2 linked regions of the Alligator mississippiensis genome follow. The protein of the gene in region 2 purifies or fractionates together with the protein of the main gene of each other region. This does not show direct contact. Links are inferred from orthologs where the notes say so. Each region holds a gene or a part of one and is shown on either strand. Other genes may lie near its edges.

The links. Proteins that work in one complex are often made in the same cells at the same time.
Region 1: the proteins of core histone macro-H2A.1 (region 2) and EZH2 purify together in Homo sapiens (affinity purification with mass spectrometry; 3 studies listed by BioGRID and IntAct, with this or other methods). This does not show direct contact. The link is inferred for Alligator mississippiensis from reciprocal best matches to the Homo sapiens genes MACROH2A1 and EZH2.

The regions. Positions count from the first base shown.
Region 1 is NC_081828.1:117,667,124-117,674,391, reverse strand, and holds the start of EZH2 (histone-lysine N-methyltransferase EZH2), read right to left. Parts: upstream 3,107-7,268; 5' UTR 3,003-3,106; intron 2,961-3,002; exon of another isoform or gene 2,941-2,960; intron 1,969-2,940; exon of another isoform or gene 1,963-1,968; 5' UTR 1,935-1,962; coding exon 1,897-1,934; intron 1-1,896. UniProt on the Homo sapiens protein: Polycomb group (PcG) protein. Catalytic subunit of the PRC2/EED-EZH2 complex, which methylates 'Lys-9' (H3K9me) and 'Lys-27' (H3K27me) of histone H3, leading to transcriptional repression of the affected target gene.
Region 2 is NC_081832.1:70,965,781-70,973,248, forward strand, and holds the start of core histone macro-H2A.1, read right to left. Parts: upstream 3,043-7,468; 5' UTR 2,950-3,042; intron 1-2,949. UniProt on the Homo sapiens protein: Variant histone H2A which replaces conventional H2A in a subset of nucleosomes where it represses transcription. Nucleosomes wrap and compact DNA into chromatin, limiting DNA accessibility to the cellular machineries which require DNA as a template.

The DNA of each region.
Region 1 (7,268 bases), on a different chromosome or scaffold from region 2:
AGCTACAGAGCCCGGGCTGCTTGTAGCAAGTGGCCAGGAAGCTGCAAGCCCTGCTGGAGTCAGCCCAGGCTTAGTGGTAGGCAGCAGCTGCCCACAGCCTGGGCTAACTGCAGCCAGGATGCTGTAAACTAGAGTGCTGGGGTTATGGAGCCCCATGCAGCTAACATGGGTAGGACAGCTGTGCAAGCACCTCTAGGTGAATGGCTGGGAAGGGGCTTGGGGCAACACAGGCCTGGCCCTCCCTTGCCATCTGCCCAGAGGCATGTGTTCAACCACCACTGCTAAGGCTGCGGAGCCTAGCGCAACTGCCTGCAGCTGCCCCACCATCTGCTGCAGCTGTCTGGAGTCCAGGCTGGCAATGGCAGGCAGCTGGGAGGCAACAAACAGCTGCTCTGTGATCTGCAGCCCCACCATTGGCTCAGTGGTGGCAGCAGCAGCTCTGCACACACCTCTGGGCAGACAGCAGGGGAGGGGCTGGGGTTGTGCAGTCTAGACCCCTTCCCAGCTGCATGCCCAGAGGTGTACATGCAGCCATCGCCACCAGACACAGTGGCGCAGAGCCCAATACCACAATTTTCAGCCTTCCGACTGCCTGACAGCTAGCCCAGGCTCTGGGCAGCTACAGCAGGTGGCAAGCAGGCCGCAATCAGAGCCCCAGCACCAGCTCTGTGCCACTGGTGGGGGCACACATGCCTCACATTGCATGGCAGGGAAGGAGCCGGGGCAGCGCAACCCCAGCACCTCCCACGCTGTCCACCCAGAGGCGCATGTGCAGCTACCACCAGCAATGAGGATCAGACCACTCATGGGTCCCACGCCTCTGGCATGCCAAGTCAAGGTGTGGGTGGAGGTTCGGGTGTTTTCTGGAACCTCTGGCCAAAAACGTTGCTGACCCCTGCTTAGACAATGTCCAAGAGCTCATGACAGTCAAGACAGTGCTTTCTAATTTACAGTACAGAGAAGTTACTGCATACATTGGCTGTCCACACACACTTTCTACCGCAAATGTACTCTTAATGTACATTAAGAACATCCCTACAAGCATTTATTGCAGAGTACCTAGGTTACTGCAAATTCATCCCTTAGCTTACTAAGTAGCAGCTTCCCCAAATATAGAAACATTAGCACAAGCACAAGGATATACTTTCTACATTATAGCCTTGTTAGTGCTGGATCCAGTTATACGAGCAAACTGGATTCTAGGCTGATACACAAACCTTCAACAAAATTGCTACCTAAATTCCATTTAAGAGTCTTTAGTAATTCTAATGAGAGGCAAAGTTACTCCGATTTCGATCTCAGTCTACAGCCCATTAAGAAAACAATTTGTAAACTGAGCAAATTTAATCTACAAGTCATTGCCACAGCAGGCAGTCCCAAAGTGTCTGTCACATTTCAGAATACAACTATATTTTAAAATCTGTATAAAGAAACCAAACCTTGCATATATCCTATTATGCTAAATTAGGATCCTGAAATGCATCAGAAAATGTAGCTGTTGATACCTCATGCTAAGTTTTAAAGAATGCTTTTAAAAGAAACCTCTGCCAATACCCCATAACTATTGGGGGGGATATTTTCACAAACTATCTTTTCATAATCCTCTCCACAGCAACCAAACAGTAGGTGGTCTTTTTGGGCAGGAAGCAAACAAACACAATAAATAAATAAATAAATAAATAAATAAATAAATCTGACTCAGTTTAACATTCAGTCTTGCACAAATACAGAATGTTTAAACCAAAAGTTCTACGTTTGTCCGCATCAAACTACTTCAGAAAAAAAAAAAGCATGAGATATACTGTCCGTATCACCGATCTTCATAAGGTCCTAAGTATTCAAATCATGACAGACCAAATGGCAGGTACTTTTAGAACACTGCGTACATGTACTCACCCTTCACAACATGCTTTCTGGTTACCACAAATAAACATCCCAGGAGCTCCCAGCTGGATATGGACACTTGGGACAAAGAAAAAGAGCAGCTTTTAATGAACTGTTACAAGTGACAGGCAAGTTCCAGGAAAGTCCTAAACCCTGGGAACAGAAGAAAACCCCCGATTCGGAAATCAAATGAGAACTCGCCGCACAGGTTTAGGTCTCAAAACTTACGGCCAATCCCCACAGCACCCCCCATACAAATCCTTTTCTGCGAAAGACGACAATTGTAACTTGGGGTCATCAAAAAAGGATTCCTGCTCCCCTGTTTCCCTTGGGAGAGGGGAGAAAAACAAAAAGCTAAACTCCAGCTTCCTAGTGGCAGGGGGTTGTGGGGCTGGGGCACCAACCGGCTGCATAGCAGAGCCCCCAGAACAAAAGCCTCCAGCCCTTCCCCTGACAAGCTGACACTGCCAGTCCGCCTGCCCGCCCACCCCACTAAGTCTTTCCAGTCAGAACCAGGCGCCCGTGAATCAGCCCTCCACCTCCGCCACCTTCCCTGGGCATGAATCATTTGCCCCAAGTTGGGGGATGCTCCCCAACCCCTTTGCTGACACCTATGGCGGAGACTCAGAAAAGGAAAATAGAGCAAACAGAGGGCTGGGAACAGCCCATGCTCGGCTCAGCCTCGACAGCTTTCCCGCCATGGCCAAGGGGCCGGGCTCACAGCAGGTCCCCGCCGGCTCCCGAGCCGGTCGCACGCGGCCGCATTTGCCCCGCACTTCCCCCAGAGGCGCTGGCAGGGGGCGGGGGAGGCGGCGCGTGCATCACAATAGCGACCGGAGCTGGCGGGCGGGCAGGCGGGGGGAGGGGAAGCAGCGACCACGGGGGCCGCCTGGGCTAAGCGGCGGCTTCCGGCTGCGGGCAGCGCACGAGGCTGCCGCGGCCCCGCCGAGCCCGGAGGCGGGGTGCTCCCCGGGGGCCCCTTCGGACGGGATCCCGAGCCCCCACCCCGTGCCCGCGGGAGACAAAGGGCGCTGTCACCCGGGGGGCGGCCTCCACCTCCACAAAGGGGGCGCCGGTTATAAAGAGCCCCCAGCTCCGCTGACGTGCAGCCTCCTCACCCGCCGCCGGCTCCCGCGAACGCCCGCCGCTGCCTCCGGCCGCCGGATTCACCCTCCCGGGCGGACCGAGCGCCAAAGCCCGGCGGCCCAATCCGCGTCGCGCTCATTGGCGACCACCAAGCGCCGCCCCGATTGGCCGGCCGCGGCGAGAGGAGGACGGTGCGCAGGAGCCAATCCGCGGCGGCGGCGGGCGGGGTCAGCGCTCCCCACGTGCGGGAGGGAGGGGGGCGGGGGAGCCCTTTGTTCTCGCGCTCAGCGCGGGGAGGGGGAGTTTCAAGCCTCCCCCCTACACCGGCCCCGCTCCACGCCGGCCGTGGGCGCGCGCGGGGGGGAGGAGAGGGGTTGGGGCGCGGGGGGGACCTTGAAACTGTCATTTGCGTCACGGAGGGAAGGGGCTGCCCTTGCTCGGCGCTGCCGAGTTTGAATCAGTTCGAAAGTGGGAGCCGTAACGGTTCTAACCGTCGCGCCTCAGCGGCGCGCGCGGGAGGGGCACAAGCGGGGGGCGGGCTTGGCTGGGCTGCCTGTGTGCCCCCGGCGCCTCCTGCCAACCTGTTGCGACCCGAGCGGCTCCACTGCCGCAGTCCCTGCTGCTGCCCTTTCCCCACGGGCTCAGCCCCGGCTCGCTGGAAGCCCCGCCCCGGCTGACACCTGCCGGGAGCCGGCCTCGGGGACGAGTCTCAAGCCCAGTTCAAAACTGTCCCTAGCGCAGAGCGGGGCCGGGAGCAGCCTGGGCTCCTCGCCCCTCCCTTTCCCAAAGACCCTTCGCATCCTCGGTAGTGTTTTTCTCCACATCCAAGCTGACAGTGCAGCCCCGGACGGTCGCGAAATTCCCAACAGGCCCCTTGTTTGCTAATAAAGATGTTGACAAACCCTCAAGCAGCTTGCTGCACTTAACAGGATGCCACGTTTCGCAAAACAGCTTTTATCCAGGGCTTTTAGTAATGCCCCATCTTGCAGCATTACCCAAAACCTAATGCCACTGACATCAGCCTTCCTCTCAGGCCTCTAATTTGTGGGCTGCTGTCTATTCGGTCTTGGCCACACTGTCAAGTGGAGGCCATGCTTAAAGTTTTCCTGTTGCTTTCTCTACAGCATCCCCACAAAAAAAGGCTGTCCTGTCTGTCTACGCGGCCTTCTCACTCAGGCTGTCATCATCCCACACTCTTGCTTACTACCTAAGCCTTTTCCTTGGCCTTCTAAGGAAAAAGGGTTTTTTTTCCCACTCATGCCAGTTCAAAACTAGGGTAAATATGATTTTACCAGCTCAGCATTTTGGCCATGTCACCTTTTTTACATCCCTCTACCAGCTCAACTTTATTAGCTGGACCACGCAAAAGCCACTTGTCTGCATTTTCATGGTTATTCATAGCCCATCCCCATATTACCTGTTAGCTCTTTGTCATTGTCAGACCTCAGCTCCCAAGACTCATTGGCCTGGTTTCATTGGCAGAGTTTCCTGTTAAATTTCATGTTACATTCTCAATCAGAAATGTGCATGCTTTCTCCTAGGCTGTAACTCAGACTTATAAGAGGCTCCTCTAAGTTCTTCAAGTCTTTTCTGAAAACTGTCTTTGGCCATTATACCTAAAAATATCATTTAGGCAAATAAGCATGCAGAAATCACTGCCTATTGCTGACTGGGGTCATTTCCTTGTACTTTTGCATCTGTTTCTCTATCTGTATTTACCTGTTGTCTCATCTTATATTGGAAGTTCTTTGGTGTCAGAGAACCAGGTGTCTGTGTTGTCTTTGTACCACAATTAGCACAAGGGATCCCGAATATGATCGAGGCTCATTGGTCCTGCCATAACGTATTTATCTGTAAAAACAACAGCCACATTCAAACAACCATGAGTTACCCCTCTCCCAAATAATTACATCAGTGAAACACCATTTTTTCAATAATACATTCTGGGTGTTTTTTGTTTTCCCATTACTGAGTCTTTAGGGTTCACTTCAAATTTGCAACCTTTCCCCAGCAACTATAAAGACTAGAAATGTATTTGTCTCTTAATTCTAGCAACCTGTGTTTCAACAAAAATCTAAAATATCACAAAACTTAAAGAAAATCTTCTGACCTGATAGAACTATAGCTCTGTCTCCTTTGTTTTCTGATCCTTACATTGAGTCAATGTTAATAGTTCATTTTTATTGTAACATCTTCCTTTGCAAATAAAGAAACATAGCAGTTACAAATTCTCCTATCCCTTTCTTAATTCCAGCAGAAAAAAAATGATAATTTCAAAAGATTCCCGTTTGTGATTGTATTTACCAAAATTGGCACATTTCTAAAATGGGATCTATTGATCAATTCTGGATATAAAGCTATTTAAAACTACCCCAAAATGGCTGCCAAATTTAAGATGGCCACCCAGTTCTTTGCTATTTAGAATTTGAGACCATTAGTTTGTTTTCAGTGAGGAAGCATAAAATGGTCCTAACAAATAATGTTAAAAATAACTTATTGTAATTGGTTTAGTTAATTTTATTACTGAGAAATTAATATTAAACTGTTAACAGATCCTCATCTCAGATGTCTGCACTTCAGTGGAAAGTTGTTTGTGCCCGGAACTGTGGGCATGTCTACACGTACAATTAATGCGACTGAATAAACTCTGGTGCAATGTGAGCCAGAGCAAACTAATACTGACGACACTGTCTACACATGCAGTTAAGCGCAGTAATTTACTCCACTGTTGGATAGTATCTCTGTCTGACGACTATCCAGCGGCTCTGTAAATTAGTCTACACTGGCCCAATTGCCGTGCATATGTAAACAATGACAGTTTACTGCACAGTAAAGCATATATGTAGATGTATCCTGTTTGGAGTTAACTAGTTCCAATTAGGAAATCAAAGATCAAACGCTCTGAAAGGACTGGGTTTTTTTGGTGGGAGTGGGGGTTGTGTACTTTTTTAAAAAGAAATACTCTTTCCATTTTAGTTGAATTGTGTTGCCTTGATGTGTAAATCTAATCAGAAAATAACTCTTAAAAAGCAGACTGTCTGATCATCAGTCTCCTGCAAACAGCCTGAGTGTTGGCAGTTGTTTTTTCTGCTCCAAGGTGTTTAAAGTTGCAAAGAGCTGCTTGTAGACTTTCCATTCTCACTGAGCAAAACCTCCCAAGTGGCTTTCTGTTTCTGACTTATTTTCATAATGGAAGAAGGTCTTTTTAACTAAATGTTCTTCTCCAAGAAAGGAAAAGAAGATGTCAGATACAAAAGATATAATTCATAATTTATAGAATATCATTTGAATGATTAAATTGATATTTTGCAAAGTTATTTCATGCATTTTAGTATATTTCTTGATGAAACCATCTAAATTAAAGCATTTGAAAATCATGTTAATGTTCAAAATGTTTAAATTATATAACAATGGAAACAAAATCCAAATCAGAAAAAAAATCTGATTTGGATAGTATACATTTCTTTAGATTATTCTAAACATTTTTATTTCTTTATTCATCATTTTTCTGGTTTGGTCCTGTTCCCTTTGACAAAATCATATGAATTTTCATAGAAGCAGGATTGGGTCCAACCCACCAGTGAAACATGCCTGTTTTTTGATGCATGAATCAAGTATTACATAAAGAATTTACAGAGTATTGAATTGTTATATGCTATGAGTCAGACATCTCAGCACTGCATTTGGCCTTAAAAACATTTTAAAATGCCAGAAGTGCAAGCAATTCTGATCATTTATATAGGGGCAAACTAATAGCATGTCTTTATTTATTCTTAAATTACAGGCATCTCGTGGAGAAAGGGATACAATAGTGTAAAGCAAAATTAAACACTGGTAGGCTCAAAGTAGAACTTTTTTTTTAAACGTGAAGAAAGTTTTTTTTAACAAATATGGGCTTCTGATCGTGTCTCTAATAATTTCACTACCAATTTCTGCAGTAAAGGGCCTCTGATAGTATCCCTGTCTGGAGGAGCCAGGCAGAATCAGTGGAGGAATCCCTTTAGTTTGAAAGATTCCACTTTTTTTAAGGCAGGCCTAGAACACTTGTTGATTGGATGCCATACAGTGCTTCCTGCTTGGCTAGGAGTGAGTACAGTACATGTGAGCCAACTCCACCCCTATTGCCTGACATCAGGATTATTGGTAGCTGATGCTATGGCTCTTACAAGGAAGTACAAAAATGTTTAAATTTCTGCCTTGTCAGCTATTTCACAGCTGTCCTCTCTACTTTGAGATATGGCTGCAGCTAGTGACAAAGCAGAGGTTTTTTGGGGGTGTGGGTCTGTAATGTGGCATAA
Region 2 (7,468 bases):
AATGGCACTTCTATTTCATGACATCAACAAACATAAAAATTAGAGAGAAATGGCTTTAAATCACTGAAGCATTTAATCAGAGACTACAAAATAATAATAAAAAAATGTGTTACCCTGAAAGAATGATTCAAAAATTGCTCCACAATGTTTGACATTTTGGAAGCAGGCAAAAAATACAGTAAAGAGGCAATGTGGATGCTTCCAAGGTGAAATCAAGCTGAAGAATGAAACCTCAAATAAACATCACTGCTGACTGGCTGTGTTCAGGTGCACAAACGAGAAAACAGAAGATACAAAACCTGCCTGGCGCAGAGGCCAGGCAAAATGTGATTCTTACTATACTCCTTTCCCAGTTGAAATGCAAGAACTCTGGACTTCACTCTCTCCAAAGTGGGAATGGGAAAGATGGTGTATAACCAGGGACTCACACCTATCATCTGCCAAAGTGGGCTGGGCAAAAGAAGGGGAACAAGTTTTCCTTCCCCCAAGTGGCACAGTAGCCAAGCACAGGACAATGGACCTCTGACTCCAAAAAGGGCTTTTAGGCAGTAGCACAAAAACCAGCCTCAACTGCTAATTTTGAGAGAGAAATTTAAATCTAAACTCTGATTCTGAAATGGCAGTTTTCTACCTGTGCTGCAGAGAGAAAGCTTGGTACAGAAGTCCCATGTCCAAAGGAATTTGTCCAAAGGACTACGATAATTTTAAGGAGCCCGATATGAACATTTTGGGTTTGATTTCCTTTCTTAACTTTGATCGTTACAACCCAAAGCTTAACTTCTGCTAACCCAAAGCTAAAATGAGGAACTCTTTCAAGATCTTCCACTGCTTATGTCCCTAGATCAGATACGCTCTCAGTTACATTACAGTAAACAGGCAGCTGCATTTGGTCCAGAATGTACAATCTGCATTTGGCTTTACTGGCAAAACAGAAGTATACATAATTTATATCTAAATAAAGACACGTTATAGGAACTCAAGTGGCCTTAACTGCACCCTAGCACAACAAACAAACTTGGAATTAAAATTTAGCTCTAAACTGCAGACACTTCCTTTTTTTAACTCTTTAAACAAACAAATATCAGGTATGGTTTAAGGACCACTCAGTCCAACCCATCTGTGAACAACGGCATTTCAAATAGCAGAAACATGACAGTCGGAGAAATAGTAATCCTCTTGTTTATGCCTGTCTCCAGGATGGTTACCAGAACCCAGGTGCTGCTTCCCTAATGAGATTCTCCTGCTCTTGGGCTGGTTTATTCCTAGGAAACCCTTAGGAAGGAGGAGGTGCTCCCTCTGCAAAGTTCCCTACACACCTGTTGCTAAGTGACAGCCACACTGAATCTCAGGGAATTTGTTCTGAAGGTCAGAGCATGAAATCATCAGCTGTTACACAATTCAACAGCCATCATCTCCTGCCCACCAACACCAATGGGGGTACTTCAGATGTAGACCGGCGTCACTGAACCACATCTCTTCCTATCTGTCCACTTCAGATTCAAATGTCAGCGTGGGGACTCCTGCTTCTAAAGAACACACTGAACTACTCCTTTTCTTACTTCTAAAGATCACGCTGAACCCCTCCGCAAATTATGGGAAGATGCAAAGCATGAAAAGGGGGTACTTGATCCCGCCACTTTCTTCATGTGCCCATCCCCAGTGAAACCCAAGCACTTCTGCTTTGCACGGTTGTCTGAAAAGCCTGCATTAACCTGCAGGCTTGCAGCCCGGGTGTAGCAAGAACACCCACACCCAGGCATGCTCAGCACGGCTTGCACAACCCCTGCAGGCTGGCACCGCGCAGGCTTTAGAAGAAGTGACAGCTTTACCGAAACATGCTCGGCCCCTCTCCCTACAGACAGGTTTGGTCTTCCCCACCGAAAAAGGCTGCAGCCCTCAGTTTGCCACTGACAGGCCACTGGGCAGGGGGCTGGCAGGTGGTCCTGGCTGGCAGGATCTCCTGCTTCCCTTTCCTTTATGCAAGCAGCCAACTCTGGCCCCTGCTCTGTGACGGGAGCGACAATGTCTCCTGCTGCTGCCTCGCAGCCCGGCTCCCTGCGTCGCTCCACATCATCTTCTCCTGGCCAATGACCTGAGGGGGGAAGGAGGGGGGGGAAGTGTGTGTGCGTGTGAGTGTGAGAGACGGGGGAGGGGGGAAGGGTGTGTGTGTGTGTGTGTGACAGGGAGGGGGAAGTGTATGGGGAAGGTGTGTGAGATGGGGGAAGGGGAAAGGGGTGTGTGACAGGAGGACGGGGAAATGTGCGTGTCTGTGTGTGTGTGTGTGATGGGGAGGGGGAAGGGTATGTGGGGGGTGTGCGCATGTGTGTGACAGGGGAAGGGGGAGTGTGTGTGTGTGAGTGTGACAGGGGAAGGGGGAGTGTGTGTGTGTGAGTGTGACAGGGGAAGGGGGAGTGTGTGTGTGTGAGTGTGACAGGGGAAGGGGGAGTGTGTGTGTGTGAGTGTGACAGGGGAAGGGGGAGTGTGTGTGAGTGTGACAGGGAGGGGAAGGGTACGTGTGTGAGAGACAGGGGAAGAGGGAGTGTGTGTGTGAGACAGGGAAGGGTGTGTATGTGTGTGTGTGTGATGGGAAAGGGGGAGTGTGTGTGTGTGTGTGACAGGGAGGGGGAGTGTGTGTGAGTGTGTGAGAGAGAGAGAGAGAGGGGGAGAGTGTGTTTGTGACAGGGAGGGGAAGGGTACGCGTGTGTGAGACGGGAAGAGTGTGTGTGTGTGTGTGTGTGTGTGAGACGGGGAGGGGGAAGGGTGGGTGTGTGTGTGTGTGTGACGGGGAAGGGGGAGTGTGTGTGTGTGTGTCGGGGCCGGCGCTCCCGGACGCACCGCCGCCGCCGCCGCGCGCCCGCTCGACCCCGGCGCTCCCCTCGCCCCGCGGTGTCGGCGGCCCGCGGCCCAGCGCCCCCGCCCGCCCCGCGCCGCGCTGCCCCCCGCACTCACCGCGCGGCGCCGCACCAATATGTCTCCCGCCGCCCGCCGCTCTCCCGGCTCCGCCACTGCCCCCCCGCCACAGGCAGCAGCGCGAGCCCCACAATGCACCGCACCGCCGCGTCACATCCCCTTGCCCCGCCCCGCCCCGCCCCGCCTGTGCGGTCGCGGGCAGGGCACGGGCTGCGGACTGCTCTCAGGGGTGCCGCACCCGGCCGCCTTACACAAGGCGCTGGGGGGCGCGGTGTCCCTCTCAGGCCGGGTTGGGGGTGTGCTCTTTGTTCCCGTCCAGGGCCAGGCTGTCGTAGGGACATGGCTTCAGGCACCTCCCTCCCACCCAAAATGGCCAGGCCAAGCTTTGCAAGCAGTTGCAGGGGGGTTTCAGGGTATCAGCGGGGGGACATGTCCGTGCGGGTCCAGATGACGCTCACCAAACGGCTCCCCCAGTTTTGCTAAGACCTGGCTCCACAGCCTGGACCAGGCCCCACGGTGCCGGGGCCGTCGACTGAGACGGAGCCGTGCCCGCGGGGTGGCTGGGAGGTGGTGGGCGCCCTGTTGGGAGCACGCTCCCCTCGTCCCCTAACGGATATTTGCAGGTGAAGGGGGGCATGGCGATGAAGAGGCACAGGCTGCTTTCCACCTCTCGCTGGATGTTGATTGATTTTGGGGTGCATCCTCCCCACTCCATGATGCCAGGCTGCCCAGAGGGGAGGGGGGCACCTGGGGCAATTTGCCCCCGTCCCTACAAAGCCAGGGACCTCTGCCTCCGCTCCCATGTGCACCGCTGGCCTCCTCGCCACAGCCCTTGGTATTTTGTTTTCATAAAAAGAAGAGGAAATTGGTGTATTCGAGTGCAAGACGACACTGAATCATTCTCAACGTGTCATTATGACATTATGGGACCCGTCCCTGACCATGAAGTAAATATTATTTATTATTATTAACAGAGCGTGTTGCGAGGAGAGAAGGGACAGGGAAGGTTTAAGGAGGGATCGGTGGCAGAGCCGGGCTGTCGTCACAGGAAGACCTCCTGGGGAACGAGTTCAAATCATGAGCGAATGTCAGCTCTTGTGGGCTCTTAAGGGCCAAAGTCAGAAATGAATTTGCAAGAATATAAGAATTAAAATGATGTATGTTGTTTCCTTAGCCAAGGAAAATAACAACATTAGACAAAACACATGTAGGGAGGATTCAAGTTGCCCATGGTGTGTGCTACAAGCTGTGTCTCCAAAAACAGCACGTGTGACCCTGTTAGCTGGTCTCAACTACTGTAGCCCCAATGTTTGCAGAGTTAAAATGACCAGTATTTGTATGAGTCCTGCTAAACCCTTGTCTTCCATAATACCTTGTCTCTATGAGTTCCGCTCATCATTTTTTGGGGGGGCTGAGGGGTGTCTCTGGTATAGCTTAGGACCGAACAGATCCCAGGTTTGGTTGTACTCTTGGATGCTAACATAAAGGAAACACTAATGACACACTCAGTTTTGTGTAGCTAAGACTCCCTGCTAAAGCAAGTGCCACTATCACACACAGCCAGACACTTTTGATACAGTGCTGTTTGCCTTTGATATAATGCTGTTTGCAAGGGCATAGACCATCTGTTGTGGTTTAACAGATACAGCCTAGAATAGAGACTTATTTCTCTTTATCATATTCCACAGTCACCACTTCCCCTCCACCTCTTCCTCTTATCCATGCCATGACCTATTTCACTCGCTTTTTCTCCCCTACCGTCTTACCCACACAGCATCTCCTCCTTCCTTCATGCAGTGTACAGAACACAGAACAGCACTCACCCTCGCAGCCCGTCTCCCTGCCCATGCCAACCTGTTGCTGTCACCCACATGATTTTAGTTTAAAAAAATTGTGCAACAATCTTTATTGGCATGACTACTTGTACACTCATTGTCAGTAGTTAAATAAGCCAGAACCTTGACTCTCTGTTGAGAGTTGATGCTTTAGCTATCGCATCATTTTGCTGTAGGAAGTGTGCTCCCAGGGCAGTCACAGAGGTTTAGCTGTGGGGATAGTGCAGATAAGCATCCAAGTTGTTTGGCAGCATCTTAGCTTTCATTTTTCTTTTCTTTGTTTTTTGAAAATTAAGCCTCTTTGGCTGCATCCAGATGTTCAGGGGCCTGCGCTTGCAGCGGCAAAAATAGTAGCCGCACAAACTTTTTGCCGCAGCACATACCCCTGCTTTGGTGAGGGACAGATTGTCCCGCTTCAGGCAAACTGCCCTTGCTGTTTCCTCCCGGCTCCTGGCATGCTGAAAGAGCCGGGGCACAACTTCAGGAGTGAATATGCTCTTTATCAGCAGCCAGAGCATTTCCCTGGAGGACTGAGCTTCCGTGTCTTCTGGTGCATGCTCCTGTTGCGTATGCCACGCTGCTTTTTCTCCCAGTGCTTTTTTTGCTGCTGGGATTTCCTGGTAGCAAATTTTGGCCATGCACTGCAAATTTGCAGTGCGGGTCACGTTCTAACATTCCCTGTGTGCAGTTTGTGGTGCCACAAACACACATGCCTGCATATCTGGATACAGCCTTTTTGTTATGGCTGAGGAGGAAACCTTCAAAATACAACTTGTGCATAACTTGTGCGGTGATACCTGTCTGTGTGCAGAGAGCCTGAAATAATAACTAGTAGTTCAACATTGCCTGTTCATTTCCATGGATGTTGATGCAGAGGTCACTTGTTCTGATTTCAGTCAGCATTAGCTATGTCACTGCTTATCGATGTGTGCAGGTATACTTTGAAGATATACCAAATCCATGATGAGTGATTGCTCATTCTGGACTGCCATTAACACCACATAGTGGGGCACAATTGCTGTCATTTGCCTGAAATGGGCTTTGCTTTCAAACAGTTGGGAAACTCCACAATATCTGCCTAGAATAGGACCTAACAGGACATATTCCCTCTGCATCTAGACTGACTTCTTGTATTTTACTCCAGTTTAGCTCCCTGGTACCATAAACAATCCCATTGCCTTCAGTCATAAACAATCCCATTGCCTTCAGCGGGATTATTTGTGGAATAATGTACTCCTCTATGAATATGGTTTATAAGCATGTAGCTCATTTACACTGTTTGTATAGACTTAGATAAGCACCTGCATTTTAGAATACTTATCTGAATTCTGAACATTTAAGTCTTTTGTTGCCATTGTTATGTGGGCCCTGGAGATTTCAATGTAATTTTATAACCTTGCCTCAGTCTGTTGAAATACGTGCAAATGCATCATCACAATTGAACGTGTAGAGCTCTGCTATTGTCTCTTCTATGTTCTGCTATCATTTACGTGGTCAGAAAGATGCACAAACCCACCCCTCAAACTTACGTACATACTATTTTTCTGATACTCTCTGCCACAGTTCAGGGTTAGCTGCAGCTCTGTCCCCTCTCCTGTCTAAATGAATGTATCCTTCTCAAGTGATAGACCCTTGACTTCATTCATCCAGGTGTGGAATCCTGCAATCTTCCTGACTGCAGAGTGGATCCCAAGGCTACAACATCCCATGAAGTTGCAATGGCTACTCAGCAAGACCCACCGGAGCTCAGCAACTTCAAGTTGTCCTTGGGGTCCTGTGGCCAGTTGTGAATATTCAGAATAGTTTTTGAAAAACAAGATATTGATTCATTGTACCAGTAGGAAGAGCTGGGATGCACATCTACACTCCTAACTTAACTATTGCCCTGAGTAGACCATTATTAAAGAAACCTCATCTCAAGAAGACTGCAGGTTGGTCAACTGCCAGCAGTTCTTGCCTGACTTTGTCATTTTGGGGCTATCTACATATCCATCCAAAGATCTTTCTTTCGTTATTTTCTGCTTTGCTCCCCACTGTGGTTACATGCTGGAACATGTGCACACACATACACACATCCGTGCCCAGGCAGCCCGTTGAGATCAGAGGTTGAAGTTATAACTTCAAAGCCAGCAACATCTGCATTATCCTTTGAATATTGGGTAAAGGGTGGGGAGGGAAGCTGTCAAACTCTTTCCTGTGTATCTGCAACTAACCTTGTCTTGAATTTAACCCTTGTAGAGGTGCAGCAAATGGCATCACATAGCAAACAGAAATAAGACAAACACATGAAACATATTTTCATAAAATGTTAGGAGCAATCTATCACTTGGTCAGCAGAGCACAAACCGCCCCAAGCTCTCAGACCACTTCCTTTTAGTCACTCACTCCCGTACAACCTGATATCCCCACTTCCATAAGAGGAATGCAGCAGATACATCCCTAGAATGGAAGATAGCTTGTTCTCGTTTTAGTCCCTAGGGGTACCGCAGAAATCTCTGGGTGTGCACTCCATGAACCACTGAAATCAATATGAGTTTTCATGTTCAATGTTGATAGGTCTAGGATTTCTCTGTGTACATTTTTTGGTAAAAGCCACCATTATTCTTATCCTACAAGAAGCTTGGGGCCAGAAGAATCCAGGTTATAGGTCAGGATTAAGGGGTGTTGGTAAAGCCGAGTGGGCTTCAACACACACTACTGGCCTACAATGCAGCGTTATGTTC